Mus musculus: one gene and its partner. The protein of the gene in region 2 binds, or shares a complex with, the protein of the main gene of each other region. Links are inferred from orthologs where the notes say so. Each region holds a gene or a part of one and is shown on either strand. Other genes may lie near its edges.

Region 1 (3,707 bases), on a different chromosome or scaffold from region 2:
CCAGTCTCAACTCACAAACAGTGAATAATAGTGATGTTACATTTTGAATGACCCTGTTGTCTAATTCCATATCATGCAGTGCAAGTTTCCTACTCGTCTCTGAATATGCTTTCAGTGTAGCATAGCAGAGAAGAAGCAAACTGGGAGACTGTCTTAAGCTTTCTTTGGCTAGGAAGTTATTGTTCTTGATAGTTGACAGTCCAGTCTGATTCTTTGAAAGTTTATCCCTTCTCATAGAATTCTGTTCGGTTAATGTCTTGTGCTCAGATTACACACACAGAGATTTGAAAAGAAACCTCTGTCTAGAGGATAATGGGGGCAGAGCAGAGAGCCAGGAGCATATTAATGAAGTTAAGATCTTAAATGGGACTATTGACTTAGTTAATTGAATTGAATCTGTGGTGTGTTTTTATTCTCTTTTAAAATATCAGTTTTGCTTAGAGATGAGAATTAGAAGCTTACTAGCTTCATCTTTTGAAAAAAATCTTCTGGTCAGATTTTAGAAATTTATGCCATCTTAACACGAGTAAAAATCCACCCGAGCTGTTTTCCTTGAAAGCTCCCTGGCATGTTTGTAGCCGTTTTTCTCTATTAGTTTTGATTTTAAAAATAGTCCAACTCTGACAAAACAGAATGCAGTGTGTTGTAATGCAATATGTTGCTCTCTGTTCCCAAGCTGCTCCTCGCTGAGAGCCACAGCTCTGAGATGGTCTCTCAGGAGCACCTGCTGTCTATTATCTTAACAGATTGTGGAGACTTCCTCTTCACCCTGGGTCCATTCATCTGCTGCAGTAGATGTTGTGAAAGACTGAGACAAACTGCCAGATCCCTATTTCACCGAGCGAGCGAGTGGCTGAAGTAACAAATGTCACCTCGATGGAGGCTCATTTGTCCCTGCATAGTTGCCATGTCTGTCCCGGGCTCCCATAGAAGGGCATTTTGGTTGGAATATTCTAATGCTTATACTTTTGTGAAGGCTTTCAAAGTTGCTGTGGTGAGCACACGTCCCAGGAGGGAGTGACAGTTGGCTGCCTGTCTTGTGGTGGATGCACAGCTCCTCTCATGCTCTGCCCGCCCAGCCTTCATTCACAGGGGCACCGAGGAAAGGCAGGCGCCTTTTGTGTTTAAGTCTATTGAGTTTTGTTTACAGTGTGAATTTTTATATTATGTGTCTGAAGGCTAATGAATAAAGTGATTGTCAGTTCTAAGATATAGCCTGTAATTTTGAATTCTGTCTTACTTTTCTCCAGGGGTCCTGGCCTGCCTGGATGGCTACATGAATATAGCCCTGGAACAGACAGAGGAGTATGTAAATGGACAGCTGAAGAATAAGTACGGAGATGCGTTCATCCGAGGAAACAATGGTAAGAGCTTCCCTTCCATTGAGTGTTCAGAATAGGCCGTTCCTGCGTGTAATAGGGAGCTGCGGGGCGTCTAAGTGTTAAGGTTCTCTTTACTTTTGCTTGTTTGTTGTACTTATATTTTAGGTCTTTAGTATAAACCAGGTCTGTTTGTGAGTGGGAAGAGGATTTTCCATGGAGGTTGGAACTAGAAATTCTCTTTCTCAGTTGCTGAGGGGTATTGGTATACTAAGCAGGCCCATTAGACCAGGGACCCAGAGGGTGTGCGGCACACAACCACATACTGTACTCTCGCAGTGCTGTCTGGGAGTGGAAGCCATCCTGTGCCACAAAACGCCCTTGACATTTAGCCTGTCCTTTGTCCTTTTTCTGTTCAAGATTTAGGTGCCTTTTGTGGAGCTTTGTACCTTTCCGTGTGTCAGAAGTAGGACAGAAGGCGTGGCTCTCAAGTTCTCTTCTTAAAAGCCTTAAAAGTTAGGTCTCGTTAGGAATTAAATATCCTGACTTTTGTAGACATACCTTGCTTGCAGTTCAGTAGAATTTCTTCTATTTCATGTTATTCTTACTTGCCCTCCTCCTTTTGCTTGGAAATATTATGCTCTTAAGTAGCCCCCATAGCAGGAGCCATTCCTACACTGACATCCACCTAGCCTGTCTGGTTTCCCAGGCAGTGGCTTTCCTCCTATTCTGATGGCTCCTACACTTTACTGCCATCCTCAGTAACAGGTGTCATTATTCCTACTACTTGTAGTTGGGTCTTAAAGAGGATCCTAGTTCACTTGATTGAAGTCTGTGCTGGACTCTTTGAGGAAACATCTACTGTTCACTTTGAACAAGCTTGTTCGTATCTGAAGATGTGTGGGATGGGAGAGGGAGGGTACACCTTAGGTGACAGCCTGACCAGAGCCCCTTTTGTCCTATCTCTGTGCAGCACACATTCCACTGTGCTAAGAATGACTGGCGAAAATACATGTTGGATGACACCAAAGGTTTATACTAATCTCAGAATAAGGACTTTGCTTTCTTAAAAATGTTTTCTCATTTTTTTCCTCCTATGGAAATTATCAGAGTAAACCAATTTACAGAGTAAACTGGGGAGATAAACGAAAATAATGCCATTTCTTTCTTTTACATTTTTTTCATGTGTATGAGTGTTTGTCTGCATGTCTGTAAGTACATCATATGCGTGCCTGGTAGTTGAGGAGGCCACACAAGGTCACTGGACTCCCTGGAACTAGATTTACAGTTGGTTGTGAACTGCTTTGTAGGAATTGGGGACCCAGCCCTGTTGCTCCGTAACATCTGCAAGTTACATCTGCTCTTAAGTGATGGGCGTCGTCTCTCCAGACACATGTGCTAGTCATTCTGAATGTGACACCTAACCTAACAGATCTGGCTGATTCGCCCTTTTCAAAACTTGTGATATAGCTATTTACAAATCATTCTTACATTTTAGGCACTTTCACTTTTCTAATTCCCAGTCATAATTTGTAAAGTCAGTAACATGCATAGATAAGACTAGTTATAATCAGGTAAGATGTCCAAGCCCGGTCTAGACGCAAAGCTTGTTTTATAGAGACCTTCATTGCATGGTAGAAACAGTCTTTTAAAGTGTTCGAGGTGTAGGCCAGGACCCATGAATGCCTTTAAAACTGAACCGATGCTGTGCCCCTCGAGTGACTGCTCGTTCTCTTGTCTTTCCAGTGCTGTACATAAGTACACAGAAGAGGCGGATGTGAAGACACCAGGAGGCAGTGCTCTTCAGAGATGGATAGATGAAGTGGTTTTGGTTCTCTTACCATCTTAGTTGGCCTGTTTTCATGGTGGCTGGTGGGGGTTTGTTTGTTTGTTTGTTTAATTGACATTGGAATAAGATAGAGGTATTGCATTACAGATCGACTCTTAAGTTTTTCACATTTATGTCTCAGTCTTTATCATTTCTGCCTGTACAGAATGCTAAAACTAAAACAGTTTGTTTCTCCAGGATTATTTTACCTAAGATTCCTGCCCTGTCATTCCATTGGTTGATTACGTATTCAGCTGACTAAGTGGTACATCCCGGAACCTGTGATCAAGCATTCTGGAGGCATCCTTTGTCTCTTTCTCTACTCACCATCCGTACCATTTAAAGCAGGTAGATAGAAAGTCATATGGTTTCAGCCTTGGGCTATAAAGGGACAAGAGGTCAGAAAATCAGCTGTTTATTTAGTCACCTAGTTAGTGGTGGTATCTCCACAAAGGAGTGCAACTGTAGAGTCAGGAATTGGAAAGGTCAGCCACGTGAGGTGAGACACTGCCTGGAAGCCTCCTGTGCAGTTAGACTCTTCATGTTAACTTGCTCCCTGT
Region 2 (4,577 bases):
ATCCAACTGTGGGGCATTTTCTCAATTAGTGATCAAGAGGGGAGGTCCCCTTGTGGGTGGGACCATCTCTGGGCTGGTAGTCTTGGGTTCTATAAGAAAGCAGGCTGAGCAAGCCAGGGGAAGCAAGCCAGTAAGGAACATCCCTCCATGGCCTCTGCATCAGCTCCTGCTTCCTGACCTGCTTGAGTTCCAGTCCTGATTTCCTTTGGTGATGAACAGCAGTATGGAAGTGTAAGCCAAATAAACCCTTTCCTCCCCAACTTGCTTCTTGGTCATGATGTTTGTGCAGGAATAGAAACCCTGACTAAGACAAGGACCAAAGCACTTTCAACAGCTGCCCTGAGGCACAGATCACCAAGGCTCCCTTCCCATCCTCAGTGTGTCTATCTCAGTGCCATGAACATTGCCAACGAAATAGAAGTTTAAGTCAGTTCCATAATCCCTACACTACAAAAGTAAAATAATTTCCAGAGAAAAGTTTTAATGTCTTACCATTGTTATATTATTTCCATTTAGTAGAATTTGATCTAATTTTGTAATTCTTCTTCCTTCTGGTGTAATTTCACTAAAAAGATAGATTAAATGGAGTCTGGATAAACAAGTAATCAAAGGCAGTATTAGAAACACTTTCCCTCCCTAAAAGTCCTACTGGGGTAAGGAGAATAGCTTGGTGGCAGAGCACACACACAAGGCCCTGGGTTCAATCCCTAGTGACAAAGCTGTTATTCTTACACATGATTCAATGTGAACGCATATAATTACAGTAAATATATACAGAATACAAACTGCCCATTGGATAATACTCATGTAAATATAATTCACCATAAAGCTTGTTCACACTAATTTCTTACAAATTCAGGAATAATATGAAGATAATAATCCTTTAACTGGACCTCACAAACACCAGTAAATAACGTTTCAGTATTAAGGTATTTTCCAACAAGTAATTTTTTTTATATCGATCATACTAAAGCTGCTATGGAGGTTTAAAGGAGAATGGCCTCCACTTGGTCCTCTGTTGGCAAACTGGAAATGATTAGGAGGTGTGGCCTTTTTTGGAGGAGGTGTATCACCCTGTTAGGCTTTGAGATTCCAAAAACCTAAATTATACCCACTTAGTGCGCTCGCGTTCTCTATTTACTTCTCTCTCTCTCTCTCTCTCTCTCTCTCTCTCTCTCTCTTGGTTATTATCTAACATATAAGCTCTTAGCTAGGACAGTCAGGGACTCTAACCATCTGAAACTGTAAGCAAGCCCCCAGTTAAACGCATTCTTCCATAAGATACCTTTGTCATGCTGTCTCTTCACATTAATAGAAAAAAGTAATCAAGGCACCATCTTTAATTAAAAAGAGATTTCCTCCCCTCCTCTCAAATTTTTTTAATTTTTTAAATACTACTCACAATTCTGTGACATCTTCCAACACCATATCTGAATTTAATGTTAAGAAAATAAATAAGGTTTATTCAGGTATATGTTTTTGTTTGGTTTAAAATATGTTCAACACTATGATAGTGCAAATTCAAAAGGTTTGTTGTTGGCAAGAGCCCTATCAACTGTCAGCAAACACACCTCTTAAAATACTACCAAGTTCCTGGAAAACAAAATTATTCTTAATGTAATAACCAGAAATTCTTCGGTTGTCTATAGTTCTTTCTTATATTAATACATCTTTAGAAACCTACACCATTCCCGCTTTTAAAAAGGATACTGACAAAGTCATCAAATCCTAGAAGTGTCCCGACAATTTCTTTATCACTCTTCATCACAATGTGAATTCTTGACCCTATACATTTGTCCACAAGCTCTGTGGAAGGAAAAGGGTAATTTTACCTACTTATTAGATCGACCAACATTTGAATGCCTACTTCACTTATTATTTTTTATCATTAAAGATAAGCAAAAACATTCAGTTTTTTGCTATTTATTTATTTATTTACTTACTTTTATTAATCATTCCATCTGTTTACATCTCAAATGATATTCCCCCTTCCTGGTTACCCCTCCACAACACCCCTCCCATATCTACCTTCTCCCCACTCCCCAATTGCTTCTATGAGGGTGCTCCCCCACCCACCCACCCACTCCAGCATTCTCCTTATGCTGTGGCATCAAACTCCACAGGATCAAGAGCCTCCCCTCCCAATGATGTCAAAAAAGGCCATACTCTCCTACATATGTATCTGGAACCATTCGGTAATTTTACATCTTACACAAATCTCTGTTTAATCGTTAGCACAAATGTTTGCCTTAGCTTTCACTTAACTCTTTATTTGCAATTAATAGGACTGTGATTTTTATTTAGATTATTTGATTAATGTATGAAAACACACACCATGAGGTGGGTGGAGACCATAACTGTTTTTCTTCATCAGTGTTTGTACCGATAAACAATATCTAACACTGCAAAAACTTTCAATCACAGACACATTCACTAAGCTCACCAGCCCCAAAACATGACAAGGGAGAAGCATTATTACAGACACCGGCTTTCCCGTCACTCCTTCTCTCACTTAACCTTAACTCTCTGTGCTCCTGGGCCAACCTGTTCATCTCAGCATCTTAGAATTGCTCAGCACGATGCGTGCCGGTGTGCGATCTTGAAAGCAATGGCTGTAATTCAAGTTCATTATTCAACAGTTCTCTGGCACTGCGCGGGAATTGCTTGTTGAATTAATGAACGACGGGGCTAGTTTCCAGATTTCTATTGTAAGATTCATTGTATGCCGTGGCGCACTCCTTACCCAAGCCAATACAGGGTCTACCTGATCTGGAGACCAAGAAGGCCAAGCTGAGAACTGGGACTGCGCGACTCATGACATCTTACTGGCGAGCTCAAAAAGGCCGAGCACGTCCTTCACTAAGTGGGACCCTCACCGACCACCGACAGGCAAAACGGTCTGTCTGTCTGCCCAGTGACGCCAAGGACCGGACAGCCGGGCCCGGAGGGGCGGTGGCCCAGCCTCGGCCCCCAGCGTGGAATTGCAGCAACCCGACCGCTCCCCAAACAAGACTTTTACCTAGTGGCAGGAGTTGGGACGGGTTCGTGGTCGCGTTAGCCGCCATGGCCACGCCGGAAGTGGCTAAGGACACCGGCGCAGACTTTAAAATTGCGCGCTTCCGCCCTTTTCCACAGCTGGTTCAGACAAGACTAATCCAAAGCCGATCTTGAGATCCAGAGGATCCCAATGGATCGCAGACAGATTCGATAGAGAGGTTCGGATCTCTATCCCTGCCACCAACCCAACAGGCACCTATGGTACCCCCAAGTTTTGCTAAACTTCAGAGATAATTTGCCGCCGGAAGACCAGCATACGAGATCTCTGAGTCGGTTAATTTTCCTCTAGAAGGTTGCATTTCAAGCCTGTATCTTTCTTCAGAGCAATAAAATCAATTTATATTTCCTACTATAAACTCGTTCTGCATGCTCCTCAACAACTACTCATTTTTTTTTTTTTAAGGAATCTGGTACTTTTAAGGCCAGAGGACTGAAAGTCTATAAAGCAGCATTTTTCACAAGCTTTTTTTTTTTTAGAAAAAACAAACAAACAAACAAACAAACAAAAAACTTCTACTATTATTTAATTTCTTCTTGTCGTTTCTAGGTGTCTGGTTTATTACAGGCATTAAAGTCACTATCAGTTTTCAATTTGCAGGCAACCGTAAGATGTCACTCTGTATGTTGACTCCATCATGTTTGGAAACCTTGCTATCACACTTCTGCATTGGAAAAGATTAAAAAGCCCCCTTTTAACGTGGAGTGGCCAGTAAACCCAACACTTGAGAGACAAAAGGAGGCATCTGTTGCAGGCATGGCCCTCTTAGACCCCGACACAAAATAAGAAATTAAAACTAACAAGGGCTAGCTGGTAGCTTGGCTATAGGGTACTTTCCTAGCATTCATGAGGCCCGGAGTTTGGGCCCTAGTGTTTTTTGTTTGTTCGTTTACGTGCTTGTTTTGTTGTTGTTGTTGTTGTTGTTGTTGTTGTTAAAGCAGATAAATACTTTGCCTTTGTCCATCTCATGTGACAGACTTAAAACCAAACAGCCTAAATATGAGAGATGAGCACCCTTCATTCCTCCATTGAAAAAACATATCAGTGGAATATTGTTTGACTAGCAGCTTGCTGGATACATAAAACAATGTTCAGAAAAGTCTTCAACCAAGAGAGTGGGAAGGAGGACAAATAGTACATTTCATGTGCACAGCACTATGGGATTTAATATGGAAAGCAATGAAAACTCAGCTCCATTCTCAATTCCAAGCCAGTGGTGGCTTTTTTTCCTCCACGCCCAATCTATAAGTCTTACAGATCTACTAGGTCCCAAGGCAATTACAAACACACTTGACAGCCATCCTTTTGAGGTAAGAGTCAGGATTAAGTTCCTTGTGCTTAAAACAAGTTAAAACACTGTCCCTTGGCCACAGCTTGAAGAACTGAGGAGTTGTTGGGAGTCTTCTCACACAGTGACTAAGAATGGGTAAGCAGAGAAGAGGCAAAAGCCGCATTCTGAGAAAAGGAAACATTGTGTGCAGTGGATGTGTGTCACTCCAAGCTTCTCTTGTTGATCTTGTCT

The links.
Region 1: Lsm5 (region 2) and Lsm6 share a complex: the UniProt entries of both Homo sapiens proteins name them as parts of the precatalytic spliceosome. The link is inferred for Mus musculus from reciprocal best matches to the Homo sapiens genes LSM5 and LSM6.

What each region holds. Positions count from the first base shown.
Region 1 is NC_000074.6:78,807,604-78,811,310, reverse strand, and holds part of Lsm6 (U6 snRNA-associated Sm-like protein LSm6), read left to right. Parts: intron 1-1,250; coding exon 1,251-1,364; intron 1,365-3,065; coding exon 3,066-3,100; 3' UTR 3,101-3,707. UniProt on the Homo sapiens protein: Plays a role in pre-mRNA splicing as component of the U4/U6-U5 tri-snRNP complex that is involved in spliceosome assembly, and as component of the precatalytic spliceosome (spliceosome B complex).
Region 2 is NC_000072.6:56,701,604-56,706,180, forward strand, and holds the start of Lsm5 (U6 snRNA-associated Sm-like protein LSm5), read right to left. Parts: upstream 3,097-4,577; 5' UTR 3,066-3,096; coding exon 3,020-3,065; intron 1,807-3,019; coding exon 1,711-1,806; intron 1,431-1,710; coding exon 1,403-1,430; intron 566-1,402; coding exon 493-565; intron 1-492. UniProt on the Homo sapiens protein: Plays a role in pre-mRNA splicing as component of the U4/U6-U5 tri-snRNP complex that is involved in spliceosome assembly, and as component of the precatalytic spliceosome (spliceosome B complex).